Drosophila melanogaster: one gene and its partner. The protein of the gene in region 1 purifies or fractionates together with the protein of each later gene. This does not show direct contact. Each region holds a gene or a part of one and is shown on either strand. Other genes may lie near its edges. The genes, in order: E(spl)m5-HLH and dgrn.

Region 1 (11,555 bases):
AACAAACTGGTGGTCCGGCATACATAAATCCCTCAAAGGATTGGTCCACGAACGGACGACGTAAGTCAGGCGATGGGATCATTGAAATCCATCCAGTGGCTGTCAGTTAGCTGGTCACTGCTACTGGGGATTCTCACTCACCTTGGATACGTTAATGATTTGATTGCCCATTGACAGGCCAAATCCCCACGTCCCCGCAACTCCCATTCACCACTTCAATCAATGACAGACGGCTCGTTAAACTTCTTCTGCGGGTGCGTTCGTTCAATTAGCCCATGTCGTAAAGTACAAATAACTATTGCGTACAAGTTCCACGGAACTTGGATGGCAACTCTGGCTCTGGCTCTGGGCCCGGCCATAATCATTAAGCCCGCCGACTGGTAGCCGGCAATTTAAATTAAACAATCGTCAATGACGGCGACAAGAGTGAAAAACTAAAGTAAAGCAGGCAGTAATCAGTCGGTTTCTCAGTTCGCCAGTCAGTCAGTCAGTCAGTCCGTCCGGCAGTCATTCAGTCATTCAGTCGAGCAGTTTAGTCAATCCGTCAGTGCATCAGTCACTCACACGACGATTGCTACTTGGGCTGATAATAAGCGTCGCGCCGGCGCAATAAATGTGTGCCGACAGATAAATGTGTGCCCTCATCTGGTTGTTGCTTCTGTATATTTACGGCCAAGTGGTTGTCTGTGTGGAGTATCTGTGTCTCGCTGGCTTTCCGTGTATCCGTGCCTGTAATCGTAACCATATAAGCGTCTTAAATGGCAGGTGTGCACATCGCGTGGGAAACACACGACGCGTCTCGAGCGGTTCTCACGATATGAAAATCGAGCAAAACAAACGGAAAGACCCCTCAAGACCCTAACAACGGTGACAGCCACTTTCTCGGGATTCGAATTGGATCTGGGATGGGGATTGGGGTTAGCGTTAAGGGTTGTCAGTAAAGTGTGCATGGGGATCGGGCGAGCATTGGGTCAGGATTTATGGGGCAGCGATGATGGTGAAGGGACCCTAAAAAACCATGACTAGGACATATATCTAAGTGCTTGTTTGTAATGAATTGGATTTTATAATTACTTGCATGAGCAGATGACGAATCCCTAAAATTTTATGTACTTTGTATCCACCTATTTGATTCCTTATTGAGGTATAAGTGTTTGCTATCCATGATTACATCAACCTCTAACATCCCATATTTAGTTTTGAAACTGGCTAAAGGATCTAAACGATCCTCCTTCTTTCCTTTCAGCGATCCAAAGATCAGTAAGCCACAACAAGACAATTACAATTTTACCGAGTTTGATTTTCATTTGCTGGCCCAAACCGAATCAGTTTGTCGCAGACAATTGGGCCCAATTCTGAGCACCACGTTCCCACGTCTTGGCCAGCATTTTACGGTTTAATTGCAGTTACAATGCGTCGCCAGGACCCACACTCCTTGGCTAGACAATTGAAAGGAATAAAACACACAAAGGGAGCCAAGAAAAGCAGCCTGAAAACTCAGTCTTTGCACAACGATTTCCTTGGTTTCCTTTCCCACGCACGCACAGCATAGCAATAAGATTTCGAGATCTTTACGGTGTTCGCAGGTAGCAGGTCCTCCAGCAAGGACCTTCTCCACACTGCTGCTGCTGCGGCTGCTGCGGGTATAAAAGCCGGTGCAGTCGAGGAATCCAGCATCATTCGAGCAGCATCCTGCAAGCAGTTCAGATCAGCTCAGCACATTTCTACAAATCTTCCAAAACAAAAAACACATTACAAAATGGCACCACAGAGCAACAACAGCACCACATTCGTCTCCAAGACCCAGCACTATTTGAAGGTGAAGAAGCCCCTTTTGGAGCGCCAGCGTCGGGCCCGCATGAACAAGTGTTTGGACACCTTGAAGACCTTGGTGGCCGAGTTCCAGGGCGATGATGCCATCCTGCGAATGGACAAGGCCGAGATGCTGGAGGCGGCACTCGTCTTCATGCGCAAACAGGTCGTCAAGCAGCAGGCGCCGGTCTCCCCACTTCCCATGGATAGCTTCAAGAATGGCTACATGAACGCCGTCAGCGAGATCTCCCGTGTGATGGCCTGCACTCCAGCCATGAGTGTGGATGTGGGCAAGACAGTGATGACCCATCTGGGCGTCGAGTTCCAGCGCATGCTGCAGGCCGATCAGGTCCAGACTTCTGTTACAACCTCCACCCCACGCCCACTCAGCCCCGCCTCCTCGGGATACCACAGCGATAACGAGGACTCTCAATCCGCCGCCAGCCCCAAGCCAGTCGAAGAAACCATGTGGCGCCCTTGGTAAATCACCATCACCATCATCATCGACATCGAATCCAGTCTTCCAGCTGAAGAATCTTCTTCAGCATCGACATTGAATCCTGTCTTCCACCAGCAACTTCTGCTGCAACGAATCATGTCTTCCAATTGAATCGTTAACAATGTGATAACAGCTTTACCTAGATCATAAGCACACCTCAAGCTTTATTAGTTTATTAAGGAATTTATTTTAAGAGAACAACACAACAGCTTTAATAGTTATAAAATACAAAACACACAAAAACCTTAATACTTTGGTCTATTTATTTACTTAAATTAACAAAAATCATAGGCCAAAATTCTAATTGGCTTTGTGATTTTCGGCTTGCAGATATCTCATTAATCTAATATGATTTATTTGTTACAAATCTTAAACAAGGAGAAAATATTGAATCAAATCCAAAAATATCATCATGATCATGGATGATCAAGACGAGTGTTGTAGATTTTGCTTAGATTTTAGATTAGTAAAATAAACTTTGCAGAACATTCAAGTAATTGTAATTCTGAAGAGACAATGTCAAGTGAAAGTAATCCCTCTCTGTGTAGATATAAGATTGTCAAGAATATTGTTCTGCTTCTTTGAAAAATAATTACCCTTGTTGAGCAATTCATTAGAATAATTCCACAGTTTTTGTGTAAAAGACACACATTAAGCAGTACCTCCCCCGCCTGATGATCGATCTAAACAAGATCCGTGCTTGACAACCCAGCTGCGACCTCCTCGACGAAGAGTTGAACTCCCCCGGGTCCAAGTAGGAGGTCCTCTGGCCATAAACCCAGTCAAACCCCTAGCCAAGCGACGCCCCCGAGGACCGGAGACAAAAAAAGACACAGACCTGTCTACGCCTCGATCAACAGCTTAACACTGTGGTGTTGCACGTGTTGCAAAGTGTTGTCGAATCTGCATACCCCTCGAGCCCCTGGACAGGGCTCACATATCGTTTTGGGACTTTTTTCTCTCGTGTTTGTCAGCCAGGGGAGGTTCCGGGCCCATCGAGTTAAACCGTCAATTACGACCGCTTTTGTGCCCTGCACGTGCGTGCTGAGTGATGGGCGGGGATCGAGGAACGGGACTCCTTGAGGCTTGGATCGATGATATCCTAAACCAACAATGACAATGGCCACGGCATTCCTGGAACTCGCCTCCCGCATATGCGACACACCAACGCACATACTAATTTGTAAACTAAAAAATAAAATCCAAAAATAAGAAGACATGTCTCGCTGCCTCGTGTCAAGTGCAATGTCTTTGTGTAACTCGATGATCCAAAGGACCCCACATGTGTGGTGCATCACCACACTGATTACTGTCTATGTTATTTTATCATTACAAAACCAAAGAAACCGCCACGTAGGTCCACCAGCTCATATTTAAATTTAAGTACGGGTCACAGATAGAATTCTAATGAAGACTTGGGTATATCTTCTTTGTTGAAAATGAAACAATATAATATGGAAACACATACTTTAAATTACAGCAATAAAGTAGTGTAATCGTTTTTAATTTATAAGGCAAGAATCTATCAGAGGAATAATTAAAAGTGCGACCAAATATAACTATATATTGATAATATATAGTTGGATTTCAAGCTAAATTTTTTCGAGGTCATCAAGTATTCGTATTATCTCAGTTTCTTAGAACCTATCTATCGATTCCTTGTTATTGTTATGCTTACGGTTGTGCACATGGCTCCGACTAAATCCCTATAGCTCAACTAGCCCGTCTGTTCAACTCAAGTGCAGAGATCATCTTTCGTTCTACGGAATTTTTCGCACGCCTCGTTTGATGTTCACGCTGCTGACCACGGAAAATGTAAACGGAAATACCGTAACAGATTCGGGCAGTTAGCACATCCTCCGGTCGGCGTGGGTGTGGAAGGTCCTGTCCGGTGTAACTGGACCTGCGGAAACCGTAGGAGGAGGGAAGGCCTCAATGATCGGTGGGCTTTTCCCGTCGACAATCAAACGCACATGTGTGAAATTTTCACGTTCGCAAGTTGATCACGTTGCCGCACTATCTGTAGTTATGGTAGATATGTACATGGGTTTTGGATGGATAGTTAGGTGGATGGATAGGTGGTTCGAGGGACGTGACGGGGCCGCAGTTTCGATCGTAACACCCTGCTGTGAGCGAAACGAGGTCGTCACGTGTACAAACACCATCATTCCCACCCCCCTTTGAACACTTGGTAGGGAGACAATGGACAGCCAGGGTCAGGTTGATTTTATTTTTATTTTATTTTTTTTTTCCTCTTTCTCCGCTTTTGTGTGCGTCGGGCTAATCCACAGTTTTGGAACCTTAAATGATCGAGCTGAGATAAGAAATCAGTGCACGTGTTCGGCCAAAGATTTCCCTGGAAGATAGAAAAGTGATGGAGAAAAAGAAGGCACCACAGTAGTCACCGAAAACCCAGAAAAAAACCACTGCAGGGGCAGCCAAAATTTAAGACCCCCAGCGGGGCTTTGGTTTCCCATCCAAATGGTTAACTATTTTTATTTGTTTTGCCCCTGCACGTGGGCACACAATAAAGTGCAGAATAAAAAAAAAAACTAACACAAAAAAAAAACCATCAGAAGGAAAACTGGGGGCAATGAGTCAACCGAAAAACTAAAGGACCAAAACACAATTAGATCGACACAATCCGTGCATAATAAGGCCGAATAATGCGGTAGCATGAGTCAACCAAAAACGATACGAGGAACTGGGAGAATCGTCCAGGGCCATAAAGGTCAGTTTCCTGGAAGTAATTCAATAATTTGGGACTGTTGATACAGCAAAGGATATTCAAAAGATTGAAGGCAACTCTTGTTGTGATAAAACACAGGGGATTTTATAGAAATATTCTGCCTCAATATTAAAAAGATACTTTGTAGCTACAAAAAGAGGAGGGACTTTATTGAAATGGCTTTAGCTCTTAATCCCGAAAATTGGTCCAGTTCTCTGCCAGCATATTGTCTTTTTAGAGGACAAAATGAAGCTGTACAAACTTGGAATTGAGACTTACATTTTATGAACCCATTCTATGTTGTTGAAATGAATAATAAATAATATCATATTTATGTTAATTTTTTGGTTTTTACCCAAAGGAGGAGGATTCAATTAACATAAAACACATTTTCTAACTTAAAATATTAACATAATTTCAGATATCCCCAAAATTATAACAATTATATTACTACAAATTATCTTACATTGGTGCTCTAATTTTCTTCGAAGTAAAGGATCCAATAGTATCCACCAATAAAACCAATTATCCCATCCTTTGACCCGCTCATCGATCCATTATAACAACCATCCAGCCAACAAAGCCAACCATATAATCATCATCACCTCCACAGCAGTTCAATAGATCTGAGATCCAGGACGATCTGTTAACGCCAGCCTACAACTTCTCACCGAGGAGTCCTGCTTAATTTGTCCCAACTCACACCGGGTTCCAAATATTTATGGTTAAGTCAGAGGACAATCCATTAAGTACGCCAAAGATATCCAGAGGGAGCCGAGACACAAAAAGCCGAAAGAAATCCTGGGAAACCTTGGCTTCAGCGCCTCACGCGCCATCAACGATCCACAAATAAAAAAAGAAGAAGGAGCCACACAAAAAAGATCAGGCGCTCGCTGTGCGTGTGCTCCTCCAACGATGTACTCGTGGTCCTGCTCCTCCTTCCCTCTTACATATTTTTTACCCATCATAATACGAATCGGTCCCCTGCTAATTGTGTGCCATCAGCAACAGAAATTAAAAGCAACTCCTTCGTCGACGATCCTTGTCCTCCAGCTCCTTTGCCATCTCGCTCCTTCGGGCAACGCCTCGCCTCCACATACAATTTGATAAATTTCAAATTACAGCGCATTAAATGCTCGCAGTTAAGGATTCCTGGTCCCTCGTCTGGGATCTGTGTGCCCCCTACTCCATCAAATTCTACGGATTGTTTGCCTATTGAGCTATTTTATCTTCTGGTTTCGGGCATTAATTGTTCGCCTCCGTTCGAGCGTTGAAAATTGAAAATATTCTCCCACGTTCTCGAGCTGCACACGTGTTCGAGAAATGGAAAACGGATTTCCCCCGCCCCCCGGCTCCATCATTGTCCGTCCCGCTCGCACTGCCTACATAATGAGATAAGTGCACATAAAAACCAAAAGTGATCGGCAGAAAAAGGGAAAAAAACGAATCTCCTTGTCAAAAAGGATCCTTTCGAACCGAAACTGTGGGAACTGGTAGAAAGTCTCGTTTCTCACGATCCTGCAGCAGGATAAAATTGCCCGCACCTTCAACAGGTGCGAGCGGAGCGACACTACATGCCGTCACACTCCGACGCACGCAGGTTAATGCCGATGCAGTCCCTTTTCGAAAAACACACCTGCCGTTTTTGTTGTTGCCTCGCCATGTATCCGCACTGTGTATAGGATTTTTCGGGACACGTATCCTTGTAGTTTCCCACACTCGGTGTTTTGTGACCTGCTCGGCTTCGGGTTTCTCCACGTCCTGGCGAGTATAAAAGGACCCTGGCTCGGAGGATCAGGCATCATTCGAGCTCAACGCTTCGTACAGTACACATCTCAGCTACACAGCAGCTAAACACAAAATTCCAAAACACATCATCATGTGCCAGAACAAGATCAACACCAACAACACCATGACCATCAAATCGAACAAGAAGCTGTCCTACAGCGTGAAGAAACTGCTGCAGAAGATCTTCAAGCAGCAACAGCGCGTCGAGGAGGAGCAGAACCTCAAGAACGCCCTCAAGGCCAACTCTTTGGAGTCTCTGGAATCCATGGAAAACAGCCGCAACGCCGATCTGGAATCCGCCTCCATCTGCGCCTCTCTGGAGTCCTGCGAGAACGAGGCCAACGAGCGTCTCTCCCAGTCCTGCGAAATTGAGGACTACGACTTCGAGCAACTGCCCACCGTTCCCGTTCACTTCGTCCGCACCGCTCACGGCACATTCTTCTGGACCGCCGTCTCCGATTTGCCAGCCGACAACGACCTCGTCGAGCCCCTCTACTGCAGCACCTCCAACGCCATCGCTATCCCCCAGGATCGTTGGGTTCAGGCCTAAAAAATATCAGCGTCCTGCAACCTGCATCCATCATCCGGCAACTATGTCTTCCATTGGATCTCCAGCTTTAATCAACGTCTTCCGTTAATTTTTGAAACCATTCCACAAAAATTAACACGCAAGCCGATCAACTCAACTGAAGAGCTTTACAAAAATTGTGATACATTTTACTTAACAAACACAAAAAAATCAAAATATATATACAATTTAAATGAAATCAACCACTGTTTTTTTTACTTTTAATCATTGATAAATCGTATGAAATGGGCCTTCTCTTAAATCACACATTTGGAAATTGGTAATCTTTACCAAAAATTGTGTTACATTTCACCCAAAAAAAAAATAATTGAATAGGAATCTAAATTCTTTGTTTCCCCCTTATTGTTCCAACAATTTTCCGTTTACAAATCAACACAGAAAATAAATGGGGAGCGAAGTCCTTTCTTAATTGGCATGACTCATTTGAAAAACGAGCGGACCCTAATCCGATTCGATCCTGAACCTTTTTTGGTCTTATTGTTGATCAATTTACCTGCCAGCAGGTAGTGCATATTGACGGTTGTTGTTTGGCCTGTTGATTTGGACCACAATGCCAACCAGTTATCGGGCAGGTAGAGAGGATCTGTTGATTGCCGATCAGATTGGTGGTAAGAACAGGCTCCAATTAGATGATCTGCTTATGGGAATGAATCAGGGTCGAGTCGAAAATGTGTTGCATACATTTGAGGTGATGTTCAATTAAAGGTAATTTATTGGGGCAGTAAACAACATTGGCGGACTGGGACAAGAATGAACAGTATTCCGTTAGGTTTGCATAATATCGTTCAGTTTGTTTATATTTATTAATATAACAAAATAAATATTTTATAAAATTTTGAAATCCCGCAAAAGAAAAACATTGTGTTTTCAATTTAAATCATTTATTTTATTTGGGTAGTGTATTTTTGATTATTCTTTCTCAACTAATCATAAATTAACATTTATAAATTATTTAAAGCTTAATATATGCTAAACAATAAAGAGAGCGCAACGAGATATTAAACTTAGGGAACTTTTGGAGTAGGAAAATAGCGCACTCGAATATATATTCACTGATTGATTGATCAACGTACTTTAGTTATATCACAGTTGAAATTAAACAATTAATTTACAAATTACCATTATCGGAACTAAAACTAAAAGTATTTCAAAACCATTCAGAAATCGATTAGACCTCAATTAACTTAGGTTGATATGATTTACTTTGGAAGACAACGGATCTTGTTGCAGAACGGTCAATAGCCATTTTTTTGGGTTGCGATTATAATATTAGGGATAAGATCCATATTGGGCACGCCCAATTACCAGGGCCTCCAGACGGGCTCAGAGGCGCCGGACTCCTGCGAGCTAACCGACGCCGTCTCGGATAACGCATTGCCATCGACGGATGTCACATCGATCAGTTCGTCCTTGCTGGTCAGGAAGGAGCTGTAACTAATGGCGGCAGCGGCGGCTGCCGGTCCATATCCTCCCAGCAGCGGGAAGGCTAGGCGGCCTGATGATTGCGGTATTTGCTGCTGCTGGTGTTGTTGCTGTTGCTGCTGCTGCTGGAGCAACTGCGTCTGCAGCTCAATTAGTCGCGTCGATAGGAATTTCATTATCTTGCGCCCAATCTCATCGGTTTGCTGTGTCTGCAGCAGGACCTGGGTAATCTGATCGGCAGCATGCACATAGCCGGAGCGAAAGGACTCCACGTGGGCGGTACTGGTTGAGGTGGGTGGGCTGCCAACACCAGCCACTACTCCCTGCAGCGAAAGACCACCCCGCTGCTTGAGTTTCCTCATGTGATCCACGGTCAACTCCAGGATATCCGCCTTCTCCAGCCGGGTGACGTGCTCGCCCTCCTGCTGCAGGCACTCCACCATCAGATCCTTGAGATCGTCCAGACACTTGTTGATCCTGGCTCGCCGTTTGCGCTCCAGCAGCGGCTTCATCACCTTGCGGTACTGATACGTCTTGGACATCTCCATGACCATGATCGATTGGGTTGTTTTATGTTGTGTATTTTAAGGATTGTTCTTTTGTATTTAGTCTCTCAACTGCACATTATCACTACTGATTTTGGTTGGTTTCATAGATTGGTTACTTTTTGACGAGTTTGTTGCGCGTGCGTTGCGCGTTCCACCGATTGCGGTGCGTTCGAGTGGCGGCACTTTTACGAAATGAGTGGCAAACTAGTTCCCAGCCCTACTTTTATATGACAGCCACGCTCTCCCGGCAAACGGGGATCAGGCTCTCCCGGCCACAAAGCTCCCGCATGATCACTCACACACGCTCCCAGGCACTCGGGCCCAAGATCGAGTTCCACTTCGGTTCTTTTCGGTCGCGGATCGGTAGCGGCGCTCGGCAGCGGCACAAAGAGAGGCTACTGTAGGCCATCGATGATGGGGGTTGTACCGTCTGCAGGGGGTACAGTGGGACCATCACCATGGAACTCTTTACCTTCTTAATTATGCTTATTATAAAAAATAAGAAATAATCCATTTTAGCAATGCGAATATAATATCAATATTTTTCATTTCCAATAGTGTTAAATTTGTGTTCTTTATATTTTGCTACAACTATTTTTTATATGACTCTCAAAAGTATGCAACATAATTGTTCAACCAAAAGGACGATTTAAAAATTTGCTAAATTTTAAGACCTGAAAGAAAGCAATTTCAAAAAATATTAATCACTTACAAAGTTAATAAAACTGCAATTATTTTCGTAAAATCTGCTTATTGAAAGTAATACTATTAGTCCAAAATTAGTATTATTAACCGAAACTAGTCGACTTCGAACCAAGGTGCATGCAATGGGAGCGAGCGAGAGCGTGCCCCGCCGCAGATACAAATGTATCTGTATCTGCAGCTTTGGTGCTCTGGCGCGCGTCGTCTTCAATTGATTGCATGGCCAGAGGGAAACTGAGCAGTCGGCAGTCGACAGTCGGCTTTCGGATTGGATCTCATTCTCGGCGACTGCGCGTGTCTCTCAGGCCGCTCCACCCCGCCCTCCATCCCCCCTCATCCATGTCATACTTATTGTCAATGATGACAGTGCTCGGCTCCCATTCGCTGTCGAAGTCCGCTGCTCCGTACCGCTCACACCAACAATGAGAATGAGACACGAGGGAGCCTACGAGGCAGTAGCCTATGTGATTGTGGGTCCCATGGCTCAGTGGATGGGGATGGGTGTTTGTGTGTGTGTGCGGTGTGCCTACTTTACGAGACCGTGGGAAACAGATTTGTCGTGTGTTTCCCACACGTTGGACGGATGGCTGGATTGTGATGCGATCCGATGGATTGCTGAAATGTTGTTGCTGTTGCTGCTGGTTGATTTCAAGCGGGTTGACTGTCAGCCGCCAATGGGGGGCAGTGGGCGAACTGGTGAGGGATGGCTGGGTGGAGGGGCAGCCTTAACTCGCGCAATTATGTCGCATGCTTGGCTGATGATGATGACTGCGACAACTGCACGTGGACAAAATGTGCGGTCTTTTTGGGAGTTTAAAGTAGATTTGAAACAATTTCAATAACAGCAACTATGTTAATTACCAATAAATATAGATCACCCCATTTCGGAAGAATGGAAAATATATATATTTTGATATTTTACTTATAACCGAATTCAAATGTAATCAGTTTTTTTTTTTAAGTTTTCAAATATTTCTCACAGTGCACAACCACCACTATGGCTGGGGCTGTGGGTTGACTTTTCGTTGAAGCGTATCGATTAAGTGTAACAGTTTCGCTATCTCGGCGCATTGGGGGTTCCAAAATGAAAGAAATAAAACTCTTTTTGCATAGTCCGATTACCAACCCTTCGGCATTTGTCGCCTTTCGTAATAAACTTTAACATCCGGTTGTCGTTCTAAGATTCGTTTTTCGCCCGTCCTCCACATATTTCTTTTAATTCGCTGATCTCAGGGCTACTGGTCAGCACTGAGTGTATAAAATGTTGCCTGTTTTTTATGCCCCTTTTTTCACAGCTGCTGTTGGGCCGACTTTATCACCATCGCAGCAATATGACACTTGTGGTTGGACGCCTCGGAGTTATTTTTTGTGGCCGTGCTTTTTGCCTGGCTAAGCATTTCCCATGATGCTGCAGAATCGCTCTGTTTGTTTGTCTTCTGGCCATGACTTCCGTTAGCCGTTTGGCTT
Region 2 (12,788 bases), about 20 Mb from region 1:
TTGGCACTATGCAGCCACTTTTTTGGTGACGGCCAAAATTACTCTCTTTCCGCTCACTCCCGCTTAGAGCGTAAGAAATCTAAAAATATAATTTGCTTGCTTGTGTGAGTAAAAACAAGAGACGAGAACGCGTATAAGTGTGCGTGTTGTGCTAGAAGACGATTTTCGGGCCGAAATCAATTCTGATCGAAGAAACGAATTTACATGGTACATATTAGGGTAGTTTTTGCCAATTTCCTAGCAATATGATAAAATAAAAAATTTTTAAAAATTCGCGCCCTGGCTATTATAATTTTAAAGCTTTTTTAAATTTCTTTGTTAAAATCGCCGCTCGAATTAGCTACCGTTTACACATTTGTATTTATGTTTAATTCTAATTTGTCTCTCATCTGACAATTTTTTAAAACCGAAATATTTTTTTTGAAACACTTTTAATGTTAATGTTACATCATATTAAGTCAAATGATTTAATAAATATACTAAATAATTAAATATGCAATTAAATTAAATTGCAAAAGTAATATCAAAGACAATAGAATTATTCTAGTGTCTTTGCTTTGTTCATATCTTGAGGCACGAAGTGCGGACACAAGCACTCAACAATCATTGCCTTATTAATTTTTCACACGCCGCAAGATGAATACTCTAATGACAAATATTCTTATATAAATTCATTTTTGAAATTTATTTTTGTGATAATATGTACATAGATTTGACTATTTCTAATCTATTTTCAAATAATAATAACGTTAAGGCAATGCAAAACAAGAATTTTTCGCATGGTGCCAATTGATAAAAAATAATATAGATTTAAAGCCAAAGAACTTCTAAGGTGAAGGGCATATTTTGTCAAATTTACAATGCATGTGAATACGTGTGCACACATACAGATGTCTGCTATCACTTTGTGCGTTGAAAAGAGCTGTTCGCTGTAGCGCTCTTCGCTCTCTCGCTCTCTAACAAAAATTCGAGAGAGCCTGGAGCCACCTCTAGAGCCACGGCCAAAAAATCGTGTGCCAAAAAATCGTATGGCGTTACGCATCTTGTTATTCTAGGGTCTTTGGCTGTACCACGTTTACAACTTAGGCAAATCACTAAATAATATAAATATAGGAGCTGTGCTTACAAGGTATGGTCATGTGCTAAGCTTAATCTAGCTATACCTAGACAACAGAAGCGACAACCTTAAGCTATTTTGGGAACGGGTTTTGTCCATTTGTGGAGTCTTAGAAGAGTCGCTTTTGGACGATGTAAAAGACACAGGCGAGGAACAAGGAGAAGGCGAAGAAGAGCAGCATTTTGTCAGTGCACTCGCGTCGTCCGTACTTTTTGAGCAGCTTGCCGGACATGCTAATGCTGCCGGCCGTGTGGTGCAGTTCGTCGCTGGTGGCCTCCACATTTTGCGACGAGGCCACGAGCGTTTCCAGGGTGATGGCGCTCTTCTGGGTGGTCTCCGAGAGGTGCCGCGATATAGCCAGCATCTTCTCGGTCACGTCGTTCTCCTGCGAAACCAGACTGCCCTGGTTGTGCCGCGCCCGTGTTGTGGTTCGTTGGCGTAGCTCACTCTCGCCGGTAATGGCCATTAACTCCTCCCGATTGGCCTTCTCGATCTCCAGCATCGTGGACACGTTTGCTTTTCGGAACGCCTGCAGCGTTTTGGAGAACTGATCACGGTGGTCGTCCACTTCATTGGCCAGCGCAGAGTCTGCCGTGTCCCGCGCCCAGTCGTCCAGCCGCTCGATGCTTTTGCGGATAGCAGACAGTTTGGAGCGGCCCGCTTCGTTCAGCTCCTCGAGTTCGGCGATGGAGGTGCGGCTGTTCAGGATGTCCTAAAAACAGAAGCTCGGTAATGAGGGTTTCTCTTCAGATAGCGGAGACTTACGTGTATTATTGCCTTAGCCTGCAGATTGTTATCGATAAGGTCCTGCCGTATGGCCTGTAATGTAAACGCATCCTTGTCCATGTCTCCAACTTTGTTTTGTTTCGAAAATATTCTATTATTCTGCTTTGGTGACGTGCATTTAACGTTAATTCCCGCAATTTTCTAACACTACCACGGCACGGTATATATCGATGGCATTTAATCGCCTAAAAAATATCGTTTACATAGTGATGGTATGGTTTTGTAATGTCGACATATTTATATACATTTCTTATAATTATTTTGTTATCAAAGAATTTCGCCGAAACGGAAATTTTATTTTTAATAAATTATTGATTTTTATTGAATTACAAGTGTCATTCTAAACAGCATTGTATAATACCGCAAAAATCGATAGTCGATCTTAAATCCTTGTTCCCGAATGTCCGTAAAGTGTCATCTTTAAAATAACCGAATGGTCGCGTGAAAGGAGGAAACTATTTTGCACATTTCAATCTGCACTAAAGCACATGTATATCTGGGTTCACCTGCTTTTGTCTTTACTACGAAATCATTTCACAAGTTTCCTGGTCATTTGTTGCTCGAACAATGTCAGATTCGACTATTTTCCGTTTTGTAAGTATACCCTGGACTTTAAACTAGTTAATTCCGATTTATGATTGATTTATTTAGTAGAACTCATCCATTCTTGATCAGTCAGCGGACAGCAACGTATCCAGTTCGAGCTCCAATTCCAGTGTATCCGACTCTTCTGTGGACTCCCATTCATCCATAGAATCCAATTCGGGACACAATACATCCGTGGAATCTCAGTCATCCGCGGAATCTGATTCATCCGCTGATTCCCATTCGTCCTTGGAACGCCCATCCCCAGTGGAGCGTGATTTATCTGTGGAATCAGACTCATCTTCAGCCACCAATACCAGCGAATCTTCAGTCGGAGAAGCTTCAAACCAACTGCAGTCACCGCAAAGCAATAACCCCTTAAATATGGCTAACTTGTCTGTCTCGACTGAAGATGCTCATTCGCAGATCAGATCACTTACCCAGGATGTGATCCAGATGGAAGCAGAGTTGGATCGCAGTATGTCACTCCATAATCATTACGAAGTTTTCTGTTAATTGTTTCATATTTCAGTGAATCGCTACTGCGAGGAAGTTGTGGCACAGATTGACACCTTCGCCACGAGAACCTCAACGCCAACAACTCGTAGAATTCGCCGCAGAAGTAAGTGCAGATCAAAATGAACGCATCTGGGTTTCACAATGAACAATGTTTTTAATTCCACAATAACCAATGACATAGTTCTTTCTATAACCCTGCCGGGTTACTTACTTTTGAAGGCAAAATTTATCTATATTTTTTAAAATTTTGTGAAAACCAGATAGCTTTCGCGGATAGAGCTAGCAATAAACCGAATACCGTTTCTTACTTTTTCCGTAGCGAGTCCAGTAGAAGTGATAGATCTGTCCCATTTGGACCGTGCACCACCTGTTCGATCCGCTCGGAATCGTGATCCCGATGCTTTCATCGATCTATGCACCCCCGAAGGCCCAAGAAGTCGCACAGTGAATCTTCACTCCAACGACTCCCTCACCATTCTGCCACGTCGGTCAGCCGAAAATGACCCGGTAGTGGATCTCGACGTTGCGTCGCCACCAAAACGCGTTAATCGCGACATTGATGAGTCCCAAAAAGAGGAGTTATACAAGTGCCCCATCTGCATGGACAGTGTATCGAAGCGCGAGCCAGTGTCAACCAAATGTGGACACGTCTTCTGCCGCGAATGCATCGAAACAGCCATCAGAGCTACGCACAAGTGCCCAATATGCAACAAGAAGCTGACCGCACGTCAATTCTTTCGCATTTACTTGTAAGTTGCTTATACTATTTCACATTTTTTGCTCTGTGAGCCTTAATATAATATAGTTTAAAAAAAAACGCTTAACTATGTTAGAGACGGCAAATAATGTCTGTTCTTGTGATTCAGAAAAAATTAGTTATTTAAGTTGTCCTATGTAATCAGTGGCGCCCAAAAATATTTGAATACAACTATAAAAACTAAAGACTTCACTTTTGATGTATGAAACCATCTCAGGCTAGAATAATATAAGAACGACCGAAAGGAGTGTCAAAGTATTATGTAGGCATTTTTCCAAACGCAATTTAACAATGTAACATACATATAATATAATAAATAAAATGGTCCCAACGCATATCAACAGGTTTGTCTCAATCTCATTTTTTATTGTTGGCTACTATTTTTTGAGACAGAAGTCAGACATGGAATTCTGAGATCATTAAAGGGTCGATAAAACAGGATAAATTGGAAACAGGTGGAACATGAAGTGTCTTTAAAGAGACTTTTTCCCTCCAATTTTGTATATATATAACAATATATTTTTTTTTTTTTAAACTTCATTCTATTTATTTTGGTTCCAAAAGGAATCGTTCGGTCAATTCCTCTGAACTTAACCTTATGTGTGTATAAAGGTATATTAGACCAAGTGGTTTCTTAATTATTAAGTACAAAAGGGAAAATGTATCTAGTTATTAATTACTTATTGTGTAAGGGTGTAGGGAGATCGGTGGGGTGTACCCTCTTCAGCCTTCGGAGGGAGATGGGATTAGATAGGCTATTTGCTAGTCGGTTCGGGTGGACCATAAGCCTGTCGGCATAACGGCTGCTGTGAAAATTAATCTGATCCCCAAGAGGGGTAACTTTCAGATCTCTTTCGATTACCTTGTTTGTCACGTACCAGGGGAGCCCAAAAGCACGACGTGCAGCTCTCGACTAGACGACACGGAGCCTATTGAGCTGGGATTTGGCGGCAGTTCCCCACACCTGGATGGCATAACTCCACGTTGGAGCAAGTATGGCTTTGATTAAAAGAGCCTTAGAGCTCACTTGTAGTTTGCTGGAGTGGAAGAGCCAGTCGAGCTTTTTTAGCTTCGCCAGTGACTAAAATTTGACCGACGTGATGTGGGCCCTCCAGGTCAGTCTCCGATCTAGATGAACTCCTAGGTAGTGCGATGTGACATTGATGATGGAGTTTCCATCAAAAAGTTCCGGGCCACAGGGTAAAAGTTCGCAGGCTGACTTCGAGGAGTTAATGGCCACATTCCATTTGGCAGTCCATTTTTCGACTACATACAGCCATTCCTGGACTGCGTTGGAGGCAGTTTACAGTACAGGATGAGACGCCAGCATGGCGGTGTCATCGTGGCCAGGAGCAGCTGATCCGGGGAGACTTCGGTGTTGTTGGCGGGAGATGGCAGGTCGGCAGTGTACAGGGTGTACAGGAAGGGCCCAAGAACACTTCCCTGTGGAACTCCTGCGTGAATCTCTTCCAGGCTGGACCGAGCATCACGCACTGCAAGGTCGAAGGTCCGATGAGAGATGAACGATCTCAGGATGGCATAGTAGGGAGCAGGAAGGAGAGCTTTCATCTTGTATAGAAGTCCTTCATGCCACACCCTGTCAAACGCTTGCTTCACGTCTAGAAAGACGCCGACCGTGTAGAGTTTGTGCTCGAAGCCATGCGTCACCTGGTTTAACAGTCGATGTATTTGTTCAGGGCAGCCGTGGAACTTCCTGAAGCCAAATTGGTGTCGAGGTATGTGGTTCACTACTTGCGGCAGTTCCATCAGGCGGGCTAAGAGTATTCTCTCAAAAATCGTGGAGAAAGTTTATAGCAAGCTGACTTGGCGATATGCATCGATCTTCGTTGGCGGCTTTCCGGCTTTAGGTATCATTATGATACGTGCACGCTTCCATTACCTTGGAAAGTGCCCTAGCCTTAGGATGACATTAAATATTTTTACTAAGGCTAGAGCTCCTTTGCGTGGCAGAGACTTCGCAGCACGGTTGTCGATGCCATCCTAACCAGGGGTTTTCTCGATTTCTTGATTTGTAGCGCCTTCAGCTGCATCATGACTTCCGGCGGTGGGGTATGCCTAATGGGGCGAGCCGGTGCAGTCGGAGTGTCCAGAAAATTATTGATGGCTACGCGGTTTGAGTCGTCTGTTAGGTTGAAGGGCATGAAGGTGGAGGTCAGGTGCGAAGCAAATGTCCTCGCTTATTCATCGTCCGTCTTAAGCCAGAGGCCACTGTGACTCTGGACGGGAGATTGAAACAACGGCTGTCTCTTGATACCTCTTGTGAGCCTCCATAATGAAAAATTGCTGTTGTTATCTGGGCCAGTACCCTCCAGCAGGGTATCCAGATTTTCTCGTCGTGTCCTGGCTAGCAAACGCTGCAGTTTGTTAGTGGTGCTAGAGTATAGCTGCTTAATGCTAGGATCTCCTGTTGCGATGTACCGTCTCCTGAGGCGCCTTTTGTGGGAGAGCAGCTCCCTCCTTGCGGTCGTGTGACGAGCTTGATGTGGGGGAGGTGTGGCCCTCTGTGCTGCTTCCGCGATTGTGGCTGCGAGGTAATGTACGTACGCTTCCAGACTATTGCAGGTGTCTATGGGGATTGAGATCTACTGTGGCCTCAATGCTCCTTGAAGGCCACAGTATTTGCAGTAGGTGACAACATTTTTGTGACACCTTTGAATACCTGGGCGTCTTCATCCAGCTCAAACAGCAGGGGGAGATGGTCAGATGACAGTAGTTGCACGTTAATTTCTTGCTGTCTGAATCCTTTGGAGATCCCGAAATCGATGGCACTTGGAGTGGCACTTGCTCGAAAGGGATAGCAAGTAGCTTCTCCAGTTGCAGCGATGTCGATACCTTCGCCCGCCAGAGCAGAGAACAGCACCCTGCCTCTCGTGCGCATCCTGTAGTTTCCCCACCATCTGTGCTCTGCGTTCCAGTCACCTGCCGCAAGGAACTTTGTGCCAAATTGAGCGATGATCAGCTCGACGTCAGCCTCCGTCCACCTGAGATTAGGAGGGCAGTACACCGAGGCAATGTTAAAAGTACCCCTGCTTGCCGTCAGCTGGATAACTGCTGTCTGGATGTGATTTTCCGACAGGGTGGAGAAGGGTTGGTGGGAGACGAGGGATCTGATAAGGATCGCTGCACCTCCGCGTTTGCTGTCATCCGGGTGGTTGGCAGTGTGGTGGGTAAAGACAGGAACTCTGAAGGTGGACCGGGAAACGAAATGGGTTTCCGACAGCAGGAGGACGTCGATTTCGTAAAGCTCGATGAAGGCGAGAATCTCATTGGTCTTCGAGGAGGCCCCATTGGCATTCCAAGCTGCTACCTTAAGAGGACCCATTTTGAGCAGCAGAATGGAAGGTGCGAGTTTGCAGGAGCAGTTGCATTAGCGTTTCAACTAGTGACATCATCCTTGTCAAGCCTAGAAAACAGCTGCTCGAGCTTAGACTCAAGGTAAGCGCTTGCATGGGGGACAATAACGGCAGGCGACGGGCTGACTTCGTCTCACAATATTTGCAAATGAAGGCTTTCCAGACATGTGGGCTGGTGGACAGGGTTGGTGTGGTCCTCTTGCAGGACCAGAAACAGAGGGTTCATTGACCTTCCGTTGGTGTTTGCGGTTAGAAGCCTCTAGCATGTACTTTTTGCAACCTTTAAAGTTGGCTGCATGGGGGAATTTTTTAGAGTAAAATGTTTTTATGATCTAAGAATCTTGTCGAATAATGGCTTGTTTTTCATATGGCGGTCAAGTTTAATGAAATAATTTAAAATCCTTTAAGTATGCTATGGAAAATCTTGTCTTAGCTATTTAAAATCAATCTACACATTTTTTATGTTTTTTTCATTGCTCGTATTTGTTTCTCTTTTGTTAAGATTACTATCGATTTGGTAAAAATAAACTAAATTTAATGATGAGTGAAGAAGTAATTGCTAAGAACATTTCCTTGTCAAGTCTTACCTACCCAAAGCGTATACCAAAGATTAAGTTCGGTCCTATCAAGGACGAAATGGGTTTCACGCTCAGCGAAAGATTGGCCCTCAGACAGGCGTGGAACTTGGTCAGACCCTTTGAGCGGCGCTACGGTCAGGACGTATTCTATAGGTGGGTTTTCTTTTGACAAGATCATGCCTGAAAAAATTACTTGACAGCTTCCTAAATGATTACTATTGGGGTATTAAGAAGTTCCGGAACGGAGCTGAGCTCAACGTGAAAGCCCTGCACTCGCATGCCCTGCGATTTATTAACTTTTTTGGACTTCTAATCGAGGAGAAGGATCCAGTAGTGTTCCAGCTGATGATAAACGACAACAACCATACCCACAATCGCTGCCATGTGGGCTCCGTTAATATTGGGGTAAGTGTGATTCAATATACAATTCCTTACTCAAACTTTAACAAAATCCTGGACAAATTGTGTGACAAGAATATGCGGCCATCAATGCGTCACTTCATTTTATTTAAAAACAGGAAGCTGCTACTCACACATTTTGTTTTTCCAATTCAACTGTAGAAAAGGAAAAAATATATTGTATATGTTGTTTATGAGACATTCACTTTAAATTTTAAAATTAAGATTGTAATCACACAATTCGACAATTCGTTTTGATTGTTTTTAAGAATGATTATCACCTTTTAAACTTATATTATTATTCCAAAGGTTTGCCTCTCCCTTTGCAGGGGTAAAAACTCAATAGAATATATATGGTATTTCAGAAACTGAATAAACATCTAAATAATAATAAGTAACAATGTTACTCATTGCCTACTATTAATCATTTTATAATCTATAGGATTCAATATTGTGGATGATACATAGCATGTTATTTTATAATATACACCCATATTTTAGCGATTATCATGTTAAATAAGTACAAACTTTTCCCAAATTTTCCCTTTCCCCATGTAACCAACAGCATCTGGCCCAGGCCCTGGTGGACTATGTGCTAAAGGTGTTCCATAAGGTCAGCTCTCCATCGCTGGAACAGGGTTTGAGCAAACTCGTGGAGAAGTTTCAGAACTACCAGGACCAGCAGTCGAATACCTCCGGATACAATCGCCTGAGCAAGGTTAACTTTGATTCACGACCGCCCAGAGGTAACCCATAGGAAACCCAAAGGAAACCTAACGAAACCCAGTGGCAACCAATAGGAAATTCATAAGAAACCCAAAGGAAACCCATAGGAAACCCAAAGGAAACCCAAAGGAAACCCAGTGGAAGCCCAGGCCATGAATCGTATTTGGAATTATATCGGGCTGCGTCATTCTGCCGCTGTCTCTGCCGCTGCTACTGCCTCTGCCACCGCGATATCAGGCTTCTAGTATCAGCCTCTGTCGCTGTCGCCGACGCAGTGGGCGCTCATTTCGCTTAGCTGCTAAGCGATTTCCTTGGAGAAATTCAGTTCAGCTCGGACGCTCGTCGCGCCATCCACACGTTTCGATAGTTAAGCCTTTCAGGGAACTGGAGCGATCGAAAAATTGGCAGTAGCAAAATAAACACTAATAAAACGAACATATAACCTCGCATTTGCGGGTTAATCGGCTAATCGTCTAAATAGTGCTGTTTTGGAAGTTATTGAAACATGGTGGCTACCGAGGAACTTAAAACGGTAATTGAACTAACCAATTTTGAATTGCTCTAGCACTAGATCTGGGTTTTAAGTGTAAGACGCAAGGGCAAAGATGAACGATAAAAAAATGTATTACGCATACGACATGCTGACCAGTAAATTTGGTAATATTGGAGCGAACATAGCTATTAATAAACGAGAAGCGGCACATGGCTAAGATTAGAAATTCATTATAAATGAATTGCTTTTCTTCAGTTTTAAGTATCCGATTGTCAAGTAAAGGCCTTTTCAAGGGCACATAAGCACAATTTGTTTCCAAATTAAATACAATTTTAAGAACTGGACATATTTGTTCAGATGAATAGAAAAAAAAAAACACTTTCTTAATTATTAAACTTAGTACATAGAATTCTATTAATTACCATGAGCCTCTTGAGCTTTGTTCTTAGGCACTTAGTACTCCTCAATTACCATACTAAAAATGTGGGCTACCTTTTTAATTAGCCACTTAAATTTGCATTTGTTGTCGCAATCTATAATAATTTATTACCTACTAATTGCGAAACGATTTCGAAGTGGGCAGCAAAAATATCTAATCGAACTAAGGCTCCTCGCGAAGAAGTGTACGCCAAGTTGAAGATTTATAAAGCCTGCCCCCTGAACAGTTTTGTTTACGGTTGCGCCTGCTAGGTAACCAAGATCTCCAGCTCTTATCGGTAGCCATAAACCAATGATTAGAGAGGGCTTAGAGCCCCAGGATCAAGAGTTTTGTACTTGGGGGGTGGTACACCACCCTATCTTGCCCTTGGCACTGGGACAGACTGCGCCGATCGAACGGTGGCCACTCGAGAAGACCGCTCAAGTGGCTCTTACCAGGCGATTGGGCATTGGGAAGACGTACACCCGTAACTGAGCACGGGGCCAATAGGCTGCTATCGGGGAGCCGGGAAGATCGTCAAGATTTCGGAAGGAGTAGCAGCTGCGATAGGCGTGCGGTTCACGCAGCCACTAACTGCTTTCGATAATGGCCAATTAGCTGTCCACCTTTGGACGTGACGCTGTGCTCTTTGGCTTCAGATTCCCAAAAGTTCGGGCTCTAGCCTGCCGCCGTCAAGTAGTGATTCACTTTTTGGCTGATAAGACCAGGCGTGTTTTGGGTTTTTGGCCACTGCCACAAAGTGCCAGCGTGTTTTATCAAATCGGCTAGTAAAACACACAGCAATCATTGCAGCAATATAATATAATGATCATAATTCCAGTCGCGTGCCAATCAATTGTTGTTGTTTATGCTCTCTGACATATTTACTCAGCGTTTATCTGGCCTGCACTGAACTGTCGGGCAATCTGCGGGATACAAATAATAATATTTACATATCAATAAGTTGTAGCGTTTCATGGCCAGTCGCATCCGGTGAAATGTTTCGTTAAACGTTTGGATTCGATGTAAATTCGCCGCCCAGTTCATCTCTTCGAAGTGTCTCGTTTTGCTTTCCTACTTCCTTATAATAAGGTGAAAATCAGGATCTATTCTAAAGAAGGAATCCGATCTTGCACAAATGTTTATATATAAATAAAATATTCATTGTAGCTCCTTATGAATAATGTTTTGCACATATAGCAAACCAAACCACCATTTTAATAAAACTATTTAGGACTATACTGTGCAACTTCCTCTATCGAAGCATAGCAAACTTTGCGGGGTATGGAATAAATTCGCTTAGTATTAAAGCCCTTAAAGTATTTAATTTGGACTTGCTATCCCATCGAGACCCACTAAACCCACCATAGGAGTCTATAATCCGTGAGAAAGAAGCTTTGCCATTTTCACCCATCTATATTTGAATACCAGGGCACACCTTGCAACAGAAGCGACTTCCATGGGTAAACAATATCGCTTTAATTACCGCATGGGCAAATGACTTGAGCGAATTAAGGGAATTGCGTCAATAAAAGATATTGTCTAACGACTGAGTGAGCTGCAATGGCGCGGGCCACGATAAAGACAAGTAAAATGTGGGCTTGTGGGCGGAAGCATAGAGCGTAAGGCCATCATCCATTGGTATGGATGGGGGCAGGTGCTTGGGAACGGGCCTCCCAAGTGCATCGGCACATGGCACAAGGTACTCGCTGAACTTGACGTCGGAAAGTGGGAGAAAACAGCAAAAGGCGAGTGCAGAAACAGAGTAAACAGAGCACAGCAAGCGAGGCAAGCTTATTAGCATGTGTTGTGCGTACACTGTGCGAAATTTCACGTCTAAATTGGATAGTGTATTGCGCAGATTTAATAGCAGATTTCTCGACCGCTTTTAGGTGGTTTATTATCGTTGGTTTATTCTTAAATATTTTTGATTTTTGATCTTAAACCAGTTCCATTTTGCAATATATTTACAAGGCTTTTTTCTCACTGTTTGGTGGGTGTGTCAGTCGTATCGTTCTGACCCCCTCTCGCTGTCTCCGTCGCACTCTGGGACCTCTCGCTCGCACCGCCGTCGAGTGATCGACTTGTTTGGGTGCGAATGCGGCGACAGGTTTCTTTTGGCATGCACTTGACGCCATTAAGATGCACCTATGTACATACGTGTTTCACTTTATAATTAGAAATTCCGCCTTAATAACATTTTAAGCGGGCGCCTGCCTAGCCATCAAGGAATCAACTGTGAAAGGGGCAATCTCACGTGGTTGTCATCTAATCGATGACCAGCTTCTGTCTACGGCCCGAGAATAGACGACGAATTTGGTTCCCGATGCACTTGGAAAGTGCACCTCAAACGCACCGAAATGCATTTAGCAAATTAATTTTAACTGTCGGAAGCATTCGTTTGCTTGGGCTTTGCTCGACTTGGTTGCGGTGGCGTATGCGTAATATTTGCGTGGATTCACATAAGAAGTCATTTGATAGCCAATTAATATGACAATGTCATTCGGTAGCCGGTGGGTAATCGATTACTGGGATAGTTTTACGAATACTTCCAACAGGTTGTTTGTTTATTTGTTAGCATCCTATTTCAAGAATAAATCCATTTGCCTCTGACGTAAAACAAAAGATTCGAATGCATCTGATTCGCGTAATCTGTTGGCAGTTCAACGAAATGCCGACAAAAGTCTCAGATAAAATAAAAGTTCTATGCACAATAGAAGAATCTTCGCCAAGCATCGAGATGAAAATACGTTTTTTCGAAGAGACCTCCGGTTTAGTCTTTTCGAGGTGTTTGCACGAGACAATCCACTGCCCCAGAGGCAGCCATTAAAATTAGCGGAAAAATCAAAACAATAATACACAATACATAATAACAATACATATACAAAGAAACGCACTGCTAAGATAATTAATGAGACTCGATAGAAATAAGTGAAATACATAATCCGATATATACAAACCATAAAACAGCGTTTTTTACACCACAAAGAGTCGTCAAATTTGGCGCAGTGCGTTTCGTCTGCGATCGTCTTATAT

Evidence for each region.
Region 2: the proteins of E(spl)m5-HLH (region 1) and dgrn purify together in Drosophila melanogaster (affinity purification with western blotting, with the first as the bait; one study listed by BioGRID). This does not show direct contact.

Annotation. Positions count from the first base shown.
Region 1 is NT_033777.3:26,019,857-26,031,411, reverse strand, and holds E(spl)m5-HLH (enhancer of split m5, helix-loop-helix), read left to right. Parts: upstream 1-1,676; 5' UTR 1,677-1,759; coding exon 1,760-2,296; 3' UTR 2,297-2,558; downstream 2,559-11,555. Other genes in the region: E(spl)m4-BFM (enhancer of split m4, bearded family member), read left to right, coding at 6,919-7,377; E(spl)m3-HLH (enhancer of split m3, helix-loop-helix), read right to left, coding at 8,718-9,392. UniProt on the Drosophila melanogaster protein: Participates in the control of cell fate choice by uncommitted neuroectodermal cells in the embryo. Transcriptional repressor. Binds DNA on N-box motifs: 5'-CACNAG-3'.
Region 2 is NT_033777.3:5,822,479-5,835,266, forward strand, and holds dgrn (degringolade), read left to right. Parts: upstream 1-2,136; 5' UTR 2,137-2,470; coding exon 2,471-2,497; intron 2,498-2,554; exon of another isoform or gene 2,555-2,557; coding exon 2,558-2,966; intron 2,967-3,020; coding exon 3,021-3,110; intron 3,111-3,326; coding exon 3,327-3,760; 3' UTR 3,761-4,098; downstream 4,099-12,788. Other genes in the region: Sec20 (secretory 20), read right to left, coding at 1,227-1,829, 1,883-1,963; glob3 (globin 3), read left to right, coding at 7,676-7,869, 7,917-8,121, 8,681-8,872.